2 linked regions of the Struthio camelus genome follow. The protein of the gene in region 1 interacts with the protein of each later gene in a pairwise test. Links are inferred from orthologs where the notes say so. Each region holds a gene or a part of one and is shown in the gene's direction. Other genes may lie near its edges.

Evidence for each region.
Region 2: the proteins of NT5C2 (region 1) and MOB3B interact in binary tests that used the Homo sapiens proteins (3 or more experiments, as listed by UniProt). The two-hybrid records come from large-scale screens. The link is inferred for Struthio camelus from reciprocal best matches to the Homo sapiens genes NT5C2 and MOB3B.

The regions. Positions count from the first base shown.
Region 1 is NC_090948.1:15,242,956-15,250,707, forward strand, and holds the start of NT5C2 (cytosolic purine 5'-nucleotidase), read left to right. Parts: upstream 1-4,735; 5' UTR 4,736-4,750; coding exon 4,751-4,805; intron 4,806-7,752. UniProt on the Homo sapiens protein: Broad specificity cytosolic 5'-nucleotidase that catalyzes the dephosphorylation of 6-hydroxypurine nucleoside 5'-monophosphates.
Region 2 is NC_090982.1:4,881,217-4,888,698, forward strand, and holds the start of MOB3B (MOB kinase activator 3B), read left to right. Parts: upstream 1-4,477; 5' UTR 4,478-4,621; intron 4,622-5,005; exon of another isoform or gene 5,006-5,070; intron 5,071-7,482. UniProt on the Homo sapiens protein: Modulates LATS1 expression in the Hippo signaling pathway which plays a pivotal role in organ size control and tumor suppression by restricting proliferation and promoting apoptosis.

The DNA.
Region 1 (7,752 bases):
ACACAGCGGTCTGCGTTGGGACCCACACGTATGGCGTCAAGGTGATCTTCATCAGGCCCAACATCAGACAGAAAAACAAAGAAAATCAGTCCCACAGCTAGGAAGTGCACACTGCTGAAACCTGGTGGCTTGTAGGAGGGATTAAATTACCCAGGGCCGTTGCAGACCTCCCAACTGCTTCCAAAACCAGGTCTTGGCTGTGAAGCAGCAGGAGGACGCTTTAAGTCTTTGTGATCCGCTTTGCACAGCAGCCACCTGCTGACGGGGCTTGTTAAACAATTTATCTCACCAGCTGCGTTCTGCCCGGGCTTGCGATTAAAAGGAAAACGCTGTCCTTTCCGCTGTGCACACACTGCAAATGGGATGCGCGCATCTCGCACGGTTTCCAGCACAGTCCATTAAACTGATGCTGCAGGTAGACGTTTCCCCACCTGGCTTCACCGCAGCAGTCACGCGAGAGGGGAGCGGAGGGGTGAAGGCAGATCCCAAGCGTCTCCGGCGCGGCTGCTGCCCGATTTCCCACAGCACAGCAGGTCTGACCCCCTTCCAGAGGGACAGGGTGGGCGAGGCGGGGAGAGAAGATTTTTGGACCCAGGACTCATGGCAGCACATCAGCAAAATCAGAGCAAAACTCAGCAAAATCAGAGAAGTGCCTAACACACATGCAACAAAGAAGAAGGCATTTGCAGAAAGCTGGGAATGGAGCACGGAGCGATTTCCGCTCCGGTTTGGACACGGCCACGCCAACGGGAGCAGAGGGCGGCCCGGACGAGCCCGTTTGGGAACGGGCGCCGGCGGCGGTCCCCGGCTCACCTCGCCTTCGGCTCCTGTTACACGTGGATGCTCGGCCGCATGCTGCCCGGCCTGGCGATGCTTCGCCTCGCCGTCGCCACCAGCGCAGCCCCCGAAAATCAGTATTTAATCACAGCATTTCAGTTAAACGTTTGGCTCCTTCAGCAAGCACGGCGTGCAGCAGCGCTGAAGCTGGCTAACACAGGCCTGTGGGCTCAGGCCGGCCGGGTTTGCAGGGCCTGGGGTGCAGCCGCGGAAATTTTGGCCAGAGAAACGCTGCAGCCGGAGCGGGGGGGGGAGGTCTGTGCGCCTCCGCCGAGGGACGGCACTTTGCCCCCGCTCCCTGGCCGCGGCCCCTCTGCGGCTCCGCGCCGGGCTCGCACACTCTCCCCGGTCCCTGCCGCCGGCGGGGCGGGAGGGAGGGAGGGAGAGGGAGCGCGCGCGCCCGCGTGCGCGCGCGAGTGTGTGTGAAAGGGGCGGGGCGCGCGGCGCGCCTGCGCAGTGCGGCCGCTTCGGCGCTGCGGCAGTGGTGCGGGGTGCTTCTTCCGAGCGCCGCAGGAGGAGGTGAGAGCGGCCCGGGCGCGCGGGGGCAGCGCGCGCGCGGGCAGCGCGCGCGCGTGCGTGCGGCTGCGCGTGCGCCGGGCGCGCGGAGGGGACCGTTGGGGCGGGAGGGGACCGTTGGGGGGGGGGCGCGCGCGCGCAGGGGAGCCCCCCCCCCCGCTCCCCTCAGACACACGCGCCCCGAGGAGGGCAGCGCAGCGCAGCCGGGTCTCCCCGTCGGCGCGGCCGGGCTGAGCGCGACGGGAGCCTCCCCGGCGGAGGTAGCCGGGGTTCCCGGGGCGCTTCCCCTTCTGCCGGCCGGCGAGGGCAGCTCCTGGGACGCAGCGCCCGCCCGCTCCGCTGCCTCTTCCCCTACCCCCCCCCCCCAGCCCCCCCCTCCCCTCCCCGGACTCCCGCCTCGCGCAGGGCGACCCCCGCTTCCCTCAGCCCGTCCCTGGCCGGGCCGGTGCCCATCAGGGCCCCCGAGCGGCCCCCATCCCGTCGCCAGGCAGGGACCGGCTCCTGGGGCAGGTGGCTTGCGCCGCGGAGCTGCGCCCCGAGCGGCCCCCTCCCCGCTGCGCCGTGGCTGTGCGTCTGCTGCCCCAGCCCCTGCTCTCCCCCCACCCCGCTCCGCTTTTTGGGTCGCAACGAGCGGACAGGAATGATCGCTCGGGATAGTGCTGCTGAGGTTTGGGGCAAGCACCCAGCGCGTTCATTTCCTGTCTCCGTCCCACGTGGACTGGAAAGGTCTCAGCGAAAGGCTTCAAGCTCTTAGCTTCCCCCTGGGGTAGCTGTAAGCCCTGCTGGAGGTGGAGAGGGGCGATCCTGGTCGCTGAGTAAAGTGTTATCCTGGCTGTGTGCAAACCCCTTCCCGGACGGCCTCGCATCAGGACTAGCGTTCATTGTCACTGCTCTGTTTCATTTGAGTGGCTCTTGGCAGTGGGTCTATATCAGGCTTGAACTGATAACCTAAAGGCAGGAGGTAGTCAGCGGAAAAAAAAAAAAACAACCCACAAAACTGCTTTGCTCTCATTTTGCTTAAGTTTTTTTTTTTTTTTAATCCTTCCTTTGTGCCAAATATAATGTTGCAAAATGTACACCGGAAACTATCCAGCACTGGTTTCTGATAGACTAGATGGCTTAATGCAGAAGTACTGTTTCTTGTAGTGCAGGCTCTTTTAAAAATTCCTGGAACCGCTGAGATTATGAAACCCTCAAGTTTATTCCAGTGCTAGTGTTTCTAAGGGCTGCCAAACTGGATACTGAGGATCCTCTTAGACCTCTTCATTCTGGTCTTCAGAATGTTCTTCCCAAGGCCTAATTATTTACTTTTAAAAATATTTTTGTTTAGCTTTGGAAGGTTTACCATTTGAATCTCAAAGGTTGCAGCATGCTATTCTAAGTTACTTACGTAAAAATGTCTCCTTCTTACCAATCCAAACAGTCCTCTGTGTCAGTTCAAAACAGTGTTCTGTCACCAACTAAAAAATATATTTTACCAATCCATACACCTGTTAGCTTTGGAAACTAGTGCATAAACAGTGATTGGTGACTAAATCCAAAGGAGGAAAATTTGCAGGTCCAGATTTACATTAGGCTTCTCAGGTGCTATGTGGTTTAATTGAAAAACAAACAGAATTCGAAACTACAGTTTAAGTTTCGGTTCAGGTGCTGAGTTTGTAGTGCCAGCAAACCATAATGTTTTACTTGAAAACTAATCAACTTAGCTTTGAAAGTCTGTCACAATCTTTGTGAGCCTGTGTCAACTTAATAATCATATTTTAGGGTAGGACAGCTGTTTAAAATAATCCATTGTCATTAGTCCTGAGTTAAAAAGATCGTTCGGGAACTTGCTAGTTTGATGAACAGCAGTTGGAGTTTGTTCAAGCATAGACGTAGTTTCATTATATAGTACAATACAACCTTTACTCTCTATAGCATCATTCAGACAAATTGTATTGCAAAATGCGCCACTGAATTAAGTGCTCCATAGAATTAAATACAATTGCAGAGATAAATGGGGAGAAAAACTGTAAGAATGGGAGAAATGTTTTCAGCTGAGGTTTGAAATTAAAAGCCTGTTGGTATGTTTACTTGGTAGCGTTACTGTTATACACTGTTTCTGGGATATATGGTAGCAAAAGTCAGATGCAGGCTGACATCGCAGGCTGAATTTCCAGCTTATAGGCAGTTTTTAATAATTAAAAAAATTGTCATTTTTTTAATCATTACTCATTTTCATGTTTGATTCCTAATATAGCTTTAAAGGAAAGTTAATAAGCCCTTCCTACAACCACTAGCAGTATTTATCCTAGCCTTTTTTAACTTCAAGGGGAACATTTGTTTTTAAGTAAACAGAAACCTTAGTTTCGTGTTTACTGTTAAACACTGCAGTATTTTACTCTTGGGGAAAACACTGAAAGGAATGTTCTATTTCCTTTCAAAATTTATAACTATATTGTTTTTTGCAGCTATCTCAAGGAAAAGGAGCGGGTTATTAAAATATGAGTTTTAACTGATGCTTATTGAAAAAGCAGATAGATTTATATGTTCACATCATACCCATTATGTGCAGTTCAGCAGCTTCTTAATAAAATAATGCTTCTGTTAAAAGCTGATGTATGGGTTGTTAGTTTGCGGTATGAACTGTTATATGGAGATGGGATGGCTCGGGGCTGGTTGCAGAGTAGGCTTGCAGTGCTCTAGCTGATCTGCAACCTTTGAATCCTACGTAAATTGTAGATACCAGATCGCAAGGAGGTGCAGGAAGGGCAGACTGTTTGCAGTTCTGCCCTGGAAATCCTTGTGCAAGAAACAGAGGTGGGGTCACGCGGTCAGGCTCAACGAACCCGCTGGTTTGTACAAATTTGGAATTAGGGAGTGCTGTGGGACCTGGGTAACCCAGCACGATGCAACTTGCCATTGCCAAAATCCTACAGAGTTTTGTAATGACCCAAAGTAATGTCACCATGTAGAAGCTGCTTGGCCTGTGGAGGGTGGATTAATCATCTCCGTGTAGGTTGCTGCGGAAACTTTGTGACAGGAACAAGTTCGCTCTTTGGCAAGTTTATGCCTTGTCTTCACTTCTTTAAAAAAATAACATGGAGTAACTAATCACCTCAGGCTAAGAAATACTCATAAGCCACCCAGCGTAAGCCCGTGGAGATGGCAAGGCACTTTGGCTTTACCCCAAGGGAAACTGAGGTCAGTCCTATGCTTCGCTGGAGAACAGCCTCAATGATGTACCTTGGGATGAGTTTACAGTGCCTGCTGTATGCTGTCCCTTCCTTGGGGTGGCTTACGAACAGTGGGTGTCCTGACAGAAAGCAGCTGTGACTTTTTTAGCAGTGAGAATAATAGGAGAGAAAACTGAACAGAATGTGGCCAGGAATGGAAGCCTTGTCTCTCTCTTTGGGATATGTCGATGATGAGATGCGTTACTAAGTCAGCGCATGGGAATTTCTTCACTTATGGTCTGTACTGCATCTTCTTCACTTATTGTCTGTACTGCATCTACTTTTAAAATTTTATTGGTAGTGTCAACAGTGCAAATATCATTTGAAATGATATTTCAGGTGGCTATAGTCTAGTCTTTCAAAGTTGACTACTCTGTGCTTAAGCTTATCTAATTCTTTGAATATCTCCAAAATGCACACTCATGTAAATATTTCTTACTGTCAACTGTCTGTTTTATGCTACTAAAGAAATTATTATTATGTATCGTGGTTATGATGCATGTAGCAATGATTTTTATTTTGCTTTTTAATCATGATGACTCTTTAACTGGAATGATTCCTAAAACCTTGGACTGTGTACTCTACATGGAGAACATGTATAACATGAGTCTGCTTTCCTAACACAACCACAGAGAGAATCCAGCATGTACAGTAAATAGAACTCAACGTACAGTAAACAGACCTTAAGCAACATCTGGAAAAAATTGCATGGGTATTTAAGGTAGCCACTGTAAGCAACCGATAATCTAAACCTGGCTACATAAGGGTAGTCTTTAAGTCCCATGCATGTGTTTGAAGGGCTAAAAAGGTGCTTGGGAGATCTGGCCCAGTGAAGCTAACTTAGGGGAAACACATTTTTAACACATTTGGAGGTCAGGAAGGGAGCCTGAGTAATTCAGTCTAAAAAAAGCACAATAGTCTGTTTCAAATCTTGCTGCCACCTCGATGTGGAATAGAATGTGTACCTTGCTATAAGGTCCAAAGCAGGTTTGCTCTTACTTTCCCGACAGTCAGGTCCTCATATACAGGAGTAGTGAATGGCTGGCTGTGGGCCAACTCACTCAGTCCTCTCATTTTTTCAAGTTTGGTACAGAATGGTGGAGACTAAACTTGTTACTTGCTGGTGACCTTAGCTTATTATCCTCTAGGCATGAATACCCGCTGCAGGATTTACCAGCACAGCCAGCCCTTTTTGGGTAGTTTTGTTAGAGATCAAGGGCTGAGTAAGCAGGGGAGGTTGAAAACCCCTCTGTGATTATTTGTATGCTACTTTCTATTTACATGTAAGCAAAGAAAACAAGTGGATTCTTAGCCTGTGCATCTTATCAGCTAAAACTGCTTTAAGTTCTGCAAAGGTGTAATTCATTACATGTGGAGAGCAAGAGCTGCAGTAATGAAATACCTGTAGGACTAATGCTGGGAGGTGAGCAACTTGTTGGTTTCTCTTTTGAAATTAAAAGATGCGTGGGCGCAAACTCTGTAGGGGGATGAAGGGGAGGTCCAAGGAGATGTGATTCTTTTTAGTTTTGAACGTTAGAACCAAGGTGAAGTAAGTTAGCGGGAGCAGAGGTATGGGAGCAACAAACGCTAACACTGCCTGTGTTTTTTACCCATCCTGTAAATAAGAAGACAGTTTCAATTTCCAGAAGTATCATTCTGGCCTCTTTTTCACCACTAAAGGTTTATTTAAAAAAAAAAAAAAAAAGTTCCTTAAAGTCGCTGTGCAGTCCAAACTTAGCTAAGTTAGCTATAGCGTGTTCGCAGCTCCCAGTTGTGTTCCAAATATTTTTCCAACAAAAACTTACTATTTTACACATATGCTTACTACAAGATTCTCATTTAACCTTGCTTGGCACAATTGGTTCAGAGGAAAGGAGAAAGCAGAGACTTCCTGTAGGGGTTTCTGAAGAAGGCTCTGAAATAGAGTGGGTTTTCACTGTTTACCCAGGACAGGCCTTTGGATTAACTGGCTTTGACCCAGGCCTTGTAGTTCTCCGTGCTAACATCTGCGTAACGCATAAAACGCTTAAGATACGTTATTTCTAGATTTTCAGGAAGCAAATTCTAGCTGAACCCTCCATGAGGGTACACTTCCAAAAAATACTTTCCAACCGAGGTGGTCCAGCTTTGGCAGTTGCAGTGGCCCCATCTGGGTTGTGGGACAGTCCTTCTGGGTGGGTTGCCCCTTCCTTGTGTGTGAGCTGCTGCCTTTCCCCTGGCAGCAGTTGCTGCCCGCGCTGCTGTAGTAGTAACAGCTGCATCCCAGCTGTATATATTAGGTTTTGGGAGGAAGCGTTTGTCTGTTTAGGCAATGTTTGCTGCTAAATTCGTATTTGTTATCTCCTTTGGAGAAAGGTTGACATGGGTGGGAATCAACTCATATGTTACTACCTGGACCGCGCTCCTCATGGCGTTTGTATCAAAGGTAGTGTGTTTGGCCATAGCTCATTACAAGAGAAACTTTCTAATCGGCTTCTAAAAATATCTAGAATGGAAGGTAAATACAAAACAGGGTAGGCCCATGGTATGTCATAAAGCATATCAAAATCTAGACCAGCTGAATTCAGCTGGTGTTTGGGTTGGTTCAGTTGGTGATGAGTTGCACACAGGCGTGCACAGCAAATAATAAGGAGCACGAGGTCGGAGGGGAGCATGTGAATACTCTGCCCACAGAAACCCTAAGAAGTACTGAGTGAGATTTATGCCAGTATTTTGTAGTCATAACACAGCAATTAGCAATAATAACATCTAAGGGTAAGTGCTAGTAAACTGCAGGCTTCTTAGGTAATTTTGGAAGTCACTGAATGGAACCAATTTGTTTTCCTAATTTATGGTGTGCCAATTAAAAATAAATAACTAATCCTTTTACAGGTCCATTTCCTTTGTTTTTCCTGTCTCCCTCTGAGAGGACCTTTTATTTTTTAATTTTTTCTTTTTTTTAAGGAAGAGCTGTATCTGTTGTCAAAGGTGTTTCAAATTTTACTTTCTAATTTTTCCAACTCATCTTTTTGGATATTACAAAGCAATTCAGTTTCAAGTCTATGCAAAGATGAACATGTCCTTTGAAATGACAGGAAAGGGCTGCAAGATTTGATCCTAAATGTCCTCATTTAAGTCATGTCCTTTCTGTCATCCTATGTGCTACTCACTGAGAACTTTTAAGGATAGATACGCTTGATCGTTG
Region 2 (7,482 bases), on another chromosome or scaffold:
AAAGAGCACTGCCCTTTTCTCCTTTGCCTACACTAGCTACTTTAACACAGCTAGGCCCTAGGCATGCTTGTGCATGATTTTTAAATAGCTATCTGGGTGGTGTTAATGTGGCTTTCCAGTTTCGTACGTGTGAAATCAAACTGGGAACTGCAATGCTTCGTTCTTTCTTCCGATTACCAACAGGTCTGTAGGTTGGCTTAGGATGTTGCACTGACTGCACGTACTTATTGGCCGGCTGCTGACAGTAATCACGATTAATGGAACGTAAATAAACTTGAAAATACTGTACACAATACCCAGGTTGAAATTGTAACAAAAATGCCCTTTCACCTCACACAGTGTGAGTTGAACTAAGCTCTATTATTAGATGTAAACAAGTTTCATTTTTGCTAATCTCTGACTAGGCTTTACCCACACATGAGTTTCACTCTCTCAATATTTTTATATATCCATAGAAACTGCTCTGTTTCTTTCTTTTACTGCAAAGTACACCAATGAAGAAAGCCATGGCTGGAGCTGTTCCAAAGCCTACTGGAGTTATGGGAACACTTCTGCTGACTTTGGGCCTTACAATGTGATCATCTGTTGAAAGGCCCACCATGGAGATCTGTCAGAGATCTCACCCTTCTCACATTTCACAATGTCGTAGGACAGTTTTTGTGTTTGCACGTAGAAGAGAATTCATCGTTTGGTCAAGAGATACCAGTCATATCTAATCTGACTGAATCTTGTCAAATATCCATGATCATCTCCTATCATAGTGAGGCAGGAAGAAAAAAAGTGCTTGTAAGTCCACTGTTATCCATCCTAACTGTTAGGTACAACTGACCTTTTGTTGTGGGGCAACTTCACTGCTATGTGAGAGACAGAAGTCTTCTGTTTTTGACAGGAGTAGAATCTGGAAGAACATCAGTCCTTCTCAGGGAGTTCTTTCTTTACAGATTAAGCACTCCTTCTTCAACAGATATGTCCCTTAGGTAGAAAATGAGGAAAAAAGAAGTCAGAAGTTAACCTGGAAAAGAATTATCACAGCACTACTGTGATCTGCCCCATCTGTGTCTTTCTTCGTTCTGGATTCTCAGCACTGGAAGCTAAACAGCAGACGTCAGCAATTTGAGGTTGAATTAAACTGCATTCCACTTTGCTTGTAGTGACAAAAATTAATTTTAAGTCCTGTTCATTTATTACTTGGGTATGTAGTAGAGAGAGGAAAGACCCTTGACTCCAGCATCTTTGCTGTATGTGCCAACAATAATATGGCATACACGACTAAATCAATTCCCGGTTAAATTCTGCTGAAGTAAATGGATTAATTGGGTTCACAAACCTGGTCTCTGGCTTCTCTCCCAGGGGTGAAAGGGACAATTTCCTTGGAGAGCAGTAGTAAATCTGGCCGTCAGGCCGTGTTCCAGTATACCCTATAGCTGAATAGAAGGAAAGTGCACACACACTTCCCATTTGGAAGGTCAGCTCTCCCTTGGAGCGCTTTTTTTGTCCCTTTCACCTTTCATCCTTGCTGGAGTACGCTAACAGCTCTAGTAATTTGTGATGATTAGCAAAGAACAAAGTGGTTATAGGTTGAAGTTCAGGAGAAGAACTGTAACTGAATTATATCCTTTCTGGGCTCTAGTTTGTCACCAAAACCAAATTCTTTTTAGGTAAAGCTGGCAGTTTGTAGATAAGGCTCACAGGATATGCTTTCAGAATTCTGGAGCACAGAAGAGAGGATGCTGTGCTCGAAGACACTGTTTATCCTGCTTGAATGTATATAGTAAAACTGATCTTGCCAACCTAACCTCCATTTCTAGCATATCACTCAGCACAGGGTTTAGAAGGATGCAAATTTTAAACTGTTTGGGATATCAGCACAAGGGGAAGGCTACAGTTTGTGTAAGTAGTTCTGTTTTTTTTAACAGAAAACGTGCCTGAAGATTATTTTACTGTGTCTTTTAGATGAGTCAAAGTTGCTGAGTTCTGACCTGGGATTGTCCCAATATTATGTTTAATATGGGTCTTTCCCAATACCTTAGGAAATAATTATCTCTCTTTAGAAAAATAATTTTTGAGTGCAGCAGTTCCTCTTTCTTTTCCTGGTCCTTTTTAGGGGTCTTTACTTGCTGTAAACTTATTCTACTGTGTTCAAATTCCCACACAGGGACATGGGATGATTGATAGAGAAAGTAATGCCGACATCAAACCAGGCTGAAGCTTGGGAAGAAGAAAGACTGAATCTCTGGCTGAATGCAGGGAACTGATCAGGGACTAAAAAGTGGTTCTACTAGTGATTGAAACCTGCTTACGCATCTTATGAAGGTATTCCTATTATTACTTGTTCAGATAGGTCTATGAGCAACACCTGATGGCTGCTATGCTAAAACTTGGATAACTTGAAAAAGGGTCACTTCTCACTCAGGCTATTCTTGCTGTGTTTGTGAAGGCATAAGGGTTGCTTCCAATATCTTTATTAGCATGACCTTGGAAAGAACAGATAATCCGCAGCAACGTGGTACCTCCCCTCAGTCATAAACTGCTGGTAGCTTCCCGGTTCCCCATTCAAATGTTTTCTTCTGGTTTGGTAGCATCTAGTTCCTAAGCCCAGCTCTAACTTAAGAGGCCACAGATTCAGCCTTTCCCTTAGGTCTGTTGAATTCAGATTCTGCTTTGCCTCTGCCGTAAGGGAGCATCACCCACCAATGGAGGGCCAGAAGCAGGACTTGGGCCCTTTTGCCAAGCTACAGATGAGGAGGAAAAGGAAGAGGAAAAGGTACAAGGAGAAGAAGAAGAGAGAAGCTGTTTTCCTTTGTCATTCAAGGCTGGGAAGGATGCAACACTAGTCTTAACAAATGTTGTTGATTTGTTACCATCTCATGCAAATCTGTGGGGTGGGTTGCTCTCTTCCCACCCCTTCTTAGCAATGATTCTTCTGGAGCATGGCCTGCCCTGTTGCACAAGCACATGTTTCTGTTCTCATGGATAAACAAAACTTCCAGTTTTGCAGATTCTTTTTTCTGGCCTCTTCATAAAAACTGTACAGTCCCTAGTGAGTTTCCGCTGCTTGAAAATAGGGGGATTTGGGGTTTGTTCATCCAATCTTGGTGAATTTCTTGTCAGGATTTCTAAAACTCAGCAAACATTTCTGTAGGGTTTAACATTTTCCCATTTTAAGTTTGACATGCAACCGTTTTAAATTAAGTTACGTGGCACCGAAACAGATCTCTGCTGTACGTGCCTCTGTTTTCCCCCTTCTTTTTGCCAATCCCATCTAGTATTTTCCATTGAAAAAAAATGGGCAGATGTAAGGAATAAAACCCTGAAGTCTTTGTCGGCAGGAGAAGCAAAGCTGTACATATTCAGCTGGGAGAATGTGTTGGTTGTTTTTTTTTTTTTTTTTCCTACCAAGACAATGAAATCCATGTAACTGCAAAAGTGGATTTAGCTATATGAATGCTGTATGTCAGACAGCCTAGGGAAAAAATAAACCCCAAATCCCTTTATCTCATATAAAAAAACAATGTGAACACAATTGTTTATTGTAACCTAGTACCTTGAGGAAGGAGACTGGCCTTCAGTCTATACTGGCGTGGGTAAAATGATAACTACTCTGGAGTGCAAACTAATCCAAAAAATGTTGTTTATAAAGAGCCCTGTAAGAAGGTTCTGGGGTCCGAGATTTTTGTAAGTCTGATAACTGACCAAAGTTCTATATTCATTGTCTAAACTGAGATAGGTTTTTCACTCAGCTTTGCTAAGGACTGCAAACGTTAGACTCTCCCTCTTCAGTCCTGACAGCCCAACAGCACTGCTTGATGTTTTGGAGATGAGGGTGTGTGACCGGCAGAATTTGTGAAATTCAGAAACAAAAATTTTGTTTCACTTTGTCATGCCTACGTGTCCTCTGGACGAGAAGGAAGAAAAGTTTAACGTACTTTGTTTTAAAGCCTTCAAGAAAAGGTGTTGTCCAAGAGAGTTTTCTTCTGCTGAGAACGAACAAAAGACATTCGGAGTGAACTGCTCTAACCCAGCAGGCTGCTGCATGCCCAAAGCTGAGGGAAAATCGGCACGCGCGGCCCGCTTGGGCCACACGGTGCCGCACGGGCTCCCAACCCAACCCCGCCAGACACAAGCGTCCCAAGCGTACAGCCTCGCGCCACCGGCCCTCACACCTACACGCGCACCCGCCGCGTTGCCTCCTGGCTGCCGGGTACCGTGTGCCGGCGCGACCTCCCCCCGCCCAGGCGCCTTGGTCACCCGCTGTGGGACCAACCAGCCGCGTGGGGTTTATGCCCGACCTCTTGTCCCCGGGCGCCTCGGGGCGCGGGGCGGCCGCAGCCCGAAGGCCTGCGGCCGAGGCCCTGAGCCGCCCGGCGCCGCGCTCCCGCCCGCTCCCCGCCCGCCGCCATTTCGGCCGCTGCCCGGCGCCCGCCAGGGGGCGGGCTCGGCCGCGGCGGCTCCGCGGGTGGCGCCGAGGCCGTGGGGCGGCGGCGGCGGGCGAGGCAGAGCCGGGCCGGGCCGGGCGCGGGGCTTGGCAGCTGCTCCGCGCCGCCGCCGCGAGTTCCTTGCGCCGGGCGGCGACCGCGTTTCGCTGTGGCTTGTTCTGGCTGCCCGGCGAGGCGGGCGGCAGGTAAGGCGGCGGGGCGGCGGCGGCGGGGCGGGGGCCGGTCGGCCCGTGGAGGGGAGGGGAGGTGGGCGCGTCGCCGCCGTCGCGCCGCCTCTCCCCTTCGCCACCTGGCGCAGCACAAAACTTGCCGCCGGGACAGCGGCGCTCTCCCGGGCCCCGCTCCGCTCCTGCTCGGCCCAAACGGATATGCCACCGCCTGCGCGGGGCGGGGCGGCGTGGGGCACCTGTGGAGGCGCCGCCCCCGCTCCCCGCCGCCGGGCCGCTGCCCGCCGCGGGCGAGCTTGGTTGCCGCCGGCCGTGCGGGGAGGCCGCCGGCCCGGTCCTCGGCAGGCGGCGGGGCCGGCCCGGCCGCGGCCGGCAGCGCCGGGGGGGCTGTCTGCGGCCGGCTGCCCGCCCGCTCGCTGGCGCTGCGCGCCTGCCGCAGCCACCTGGGACAGACAGCCTGTGGAAAGGTGCGTTTTCCTAGGGGCCTTTTCTTTTTTATCTTTTTTTTTTTTTGTCTTTTTTTTCTTTTTTAATTCCCCCCCACCCCCTCCACCCTCACCCTCTACTGCACAACTTAGGTCACTCCGTGTTTTCCTCCAGAGTTTCCTCGGGGGGAAGGGGGAGTTGCTTGGCCTTATTAAGGGAGCTGCTGGCTCTGCGGACCTGCTGCTGCACGGTGGATGCCTGGAAGCCGGCGGGGTCGAGCCTTGGATGCCGCCCTGTCAGCCCTGTGCAGGGTGCAGGGGGCTCTCGCTGTGGGGCAGCAGGTGGGGAAGGGCACCAGCAGGTTAAAGGGAGACAGGAGAAGGCAGATAATAGTCAGATCCGGGACTAAGTTGTCTTTTTCTTCCTCCCCCCTTCCCCACCTCCCCCTTCCGTTTGCCCCCGGTTTGGCGTCCCCCTCCCAAGCAGGCCTGTTCTGCTGCCTTTCTGCACCTTGCTCTGAAAGAGTGAGGTGTGATCCAGAGCCCTGTTGCTGGTCCTTTTCCACCCGCAGTGACCAAAGGGAAGGAAGCCTCAGCACCGCAGCCTGGGAGTTTGTGACCTGTTTGTCATCTGGCCAGGCAACCCTGAGGCACAGCTCATTAAAAGATGGCTATTGCACGGAAGTGCTTATAAGGTTAGGGCTGAAGTTAGTGCCTCAGACAATCTGCCGTGCAGCTGACCTGCCAGTTCTTTTAGTCATGGGGAGAGACAGGCTTCAGTGTGCTAGATTTTGCTTTTAGTTTGCAAAGAAGCCTGTTTCCTGAGACATAATTTATATTAAACTTTTCTGCTCACTAATGGAACACAGAATTTGAAATATTTCCAAGTCTTTGCATCCTCATGCTGCAACAACCTGGCAGCTGAAGTCTCAGAGGCTGACCCAGGATTGGTTACAGAGAAATGAGTAGTTGCTGAGTCTTGACCCTGTGTTTTAGGGCCTGATACTAGAACAGTTCACTCCTCAGTTTTACTTGAAAAGAGGCAGTTGCTGGACTAGAGAGGAAGAACTTCCCTAATCAGATATTTGCATAAGAGTAGGGTTCAGCACTCTCTTCCAGACCAGAGCTTTTAAGCTAAGCAAGCTGTATAGGCATCAATTCACTTGATTATTTCTTTCCCAGTCCTAACCAGCAGATTAATCTAAAGTTAAAAGTTAAAATTATTTTCATCACTCCCCCTTTAACAGTGATGCTGTTATTCCTGATAATTGTTTATGTTTTAATATCCATGCGTTTTCCTGTTTTTAATAGTATCAAGGTGGTGCTCATGCCAGAGCTAGTGCAAGGGAAAGGCTTGCTGGTGCAAGGACCAGCAGACCCTACAGGTGTCCACTGCTGACTTTTTTAAAAGAGGATAGCTGCAATGCGAATGTGGAAGAGTCCTAGCTGGCAGGGCTCCTGACCCTGCAGGCCATTTCTCTTTTTTTTTTTTCTGGCAGGACTCCCAGCTGGCATTTGAAGATGTAAATGCCTTCTTGCTCCAACATATGGTGGTCATATCAGTCTGTTTCTCAGGTCTGGGCAGCTCTCCTGAACAGAATGTTTTGAATGATGCTGAGGTGTGTCCTGAGCACAGTCACAGCAAGAACAGGTCCCTTATCCCATGATTATCAGGGTGATAAAGGGTGGATGAGGATTCTTCCTGCCCCTGCTCAAATTGCAATGATTGCTCGTTGCAGGATTGTTTATATTTTCCCAGACCACTTCTTTGGGCCTTTACACACAGGTAGAATTTATGTTTAATGAAGGATACTGTAACTCCTTGTAGAGGGAGGAATGGGAGGAAACTTTCTGGGCAGGATTCTTCTCAGATCAGTGAGTTTTATCGTGCAGATGCTCTGCTGTGATGGGGAGCTGGTTCCTCTTCTCCCACCACAACAAAGCACCTTATTTTAAGATCTGCAGACCCTTTTGAGTTGACCAACATTTGTGACAGTTTTGCACCTCCACTCTGTAGAGGAGAAAAAAGAGCGTTCTTAGCACAACAGGGGAGGAAGCTCTTCTTTTAGGGTACAGAACTGTCCATCTCTGGACACATCTCTGTGCTACCTCCCAAAGGAGGGGATAGGATAGAGAAAAGAGCACAAGGTATACAGGGTACGGTCGAGTCATACTGAGTCCCAGAAAGTGCTGAAGAGTAAATGGGGATAGGTGCAGAACAATATGATGTTGCTGGGCATCAGATGCATTGGAATCATGATTTAATGGCTGTTAACCAGAATAACGGTGCAGTAGTCAGTACTGCTTAGAACACAGTAGGAGGTGATAGCTTGGGACTGTACCAGACTACTTCAGCTCCTTTGCCAATATTTCTCTAGCAAAAGATGTTTTCTTATCGAGTACTAGCAAAGTACTCAGCATCATGCAGGATGTCAGAGGAATGTAATTGTGTTC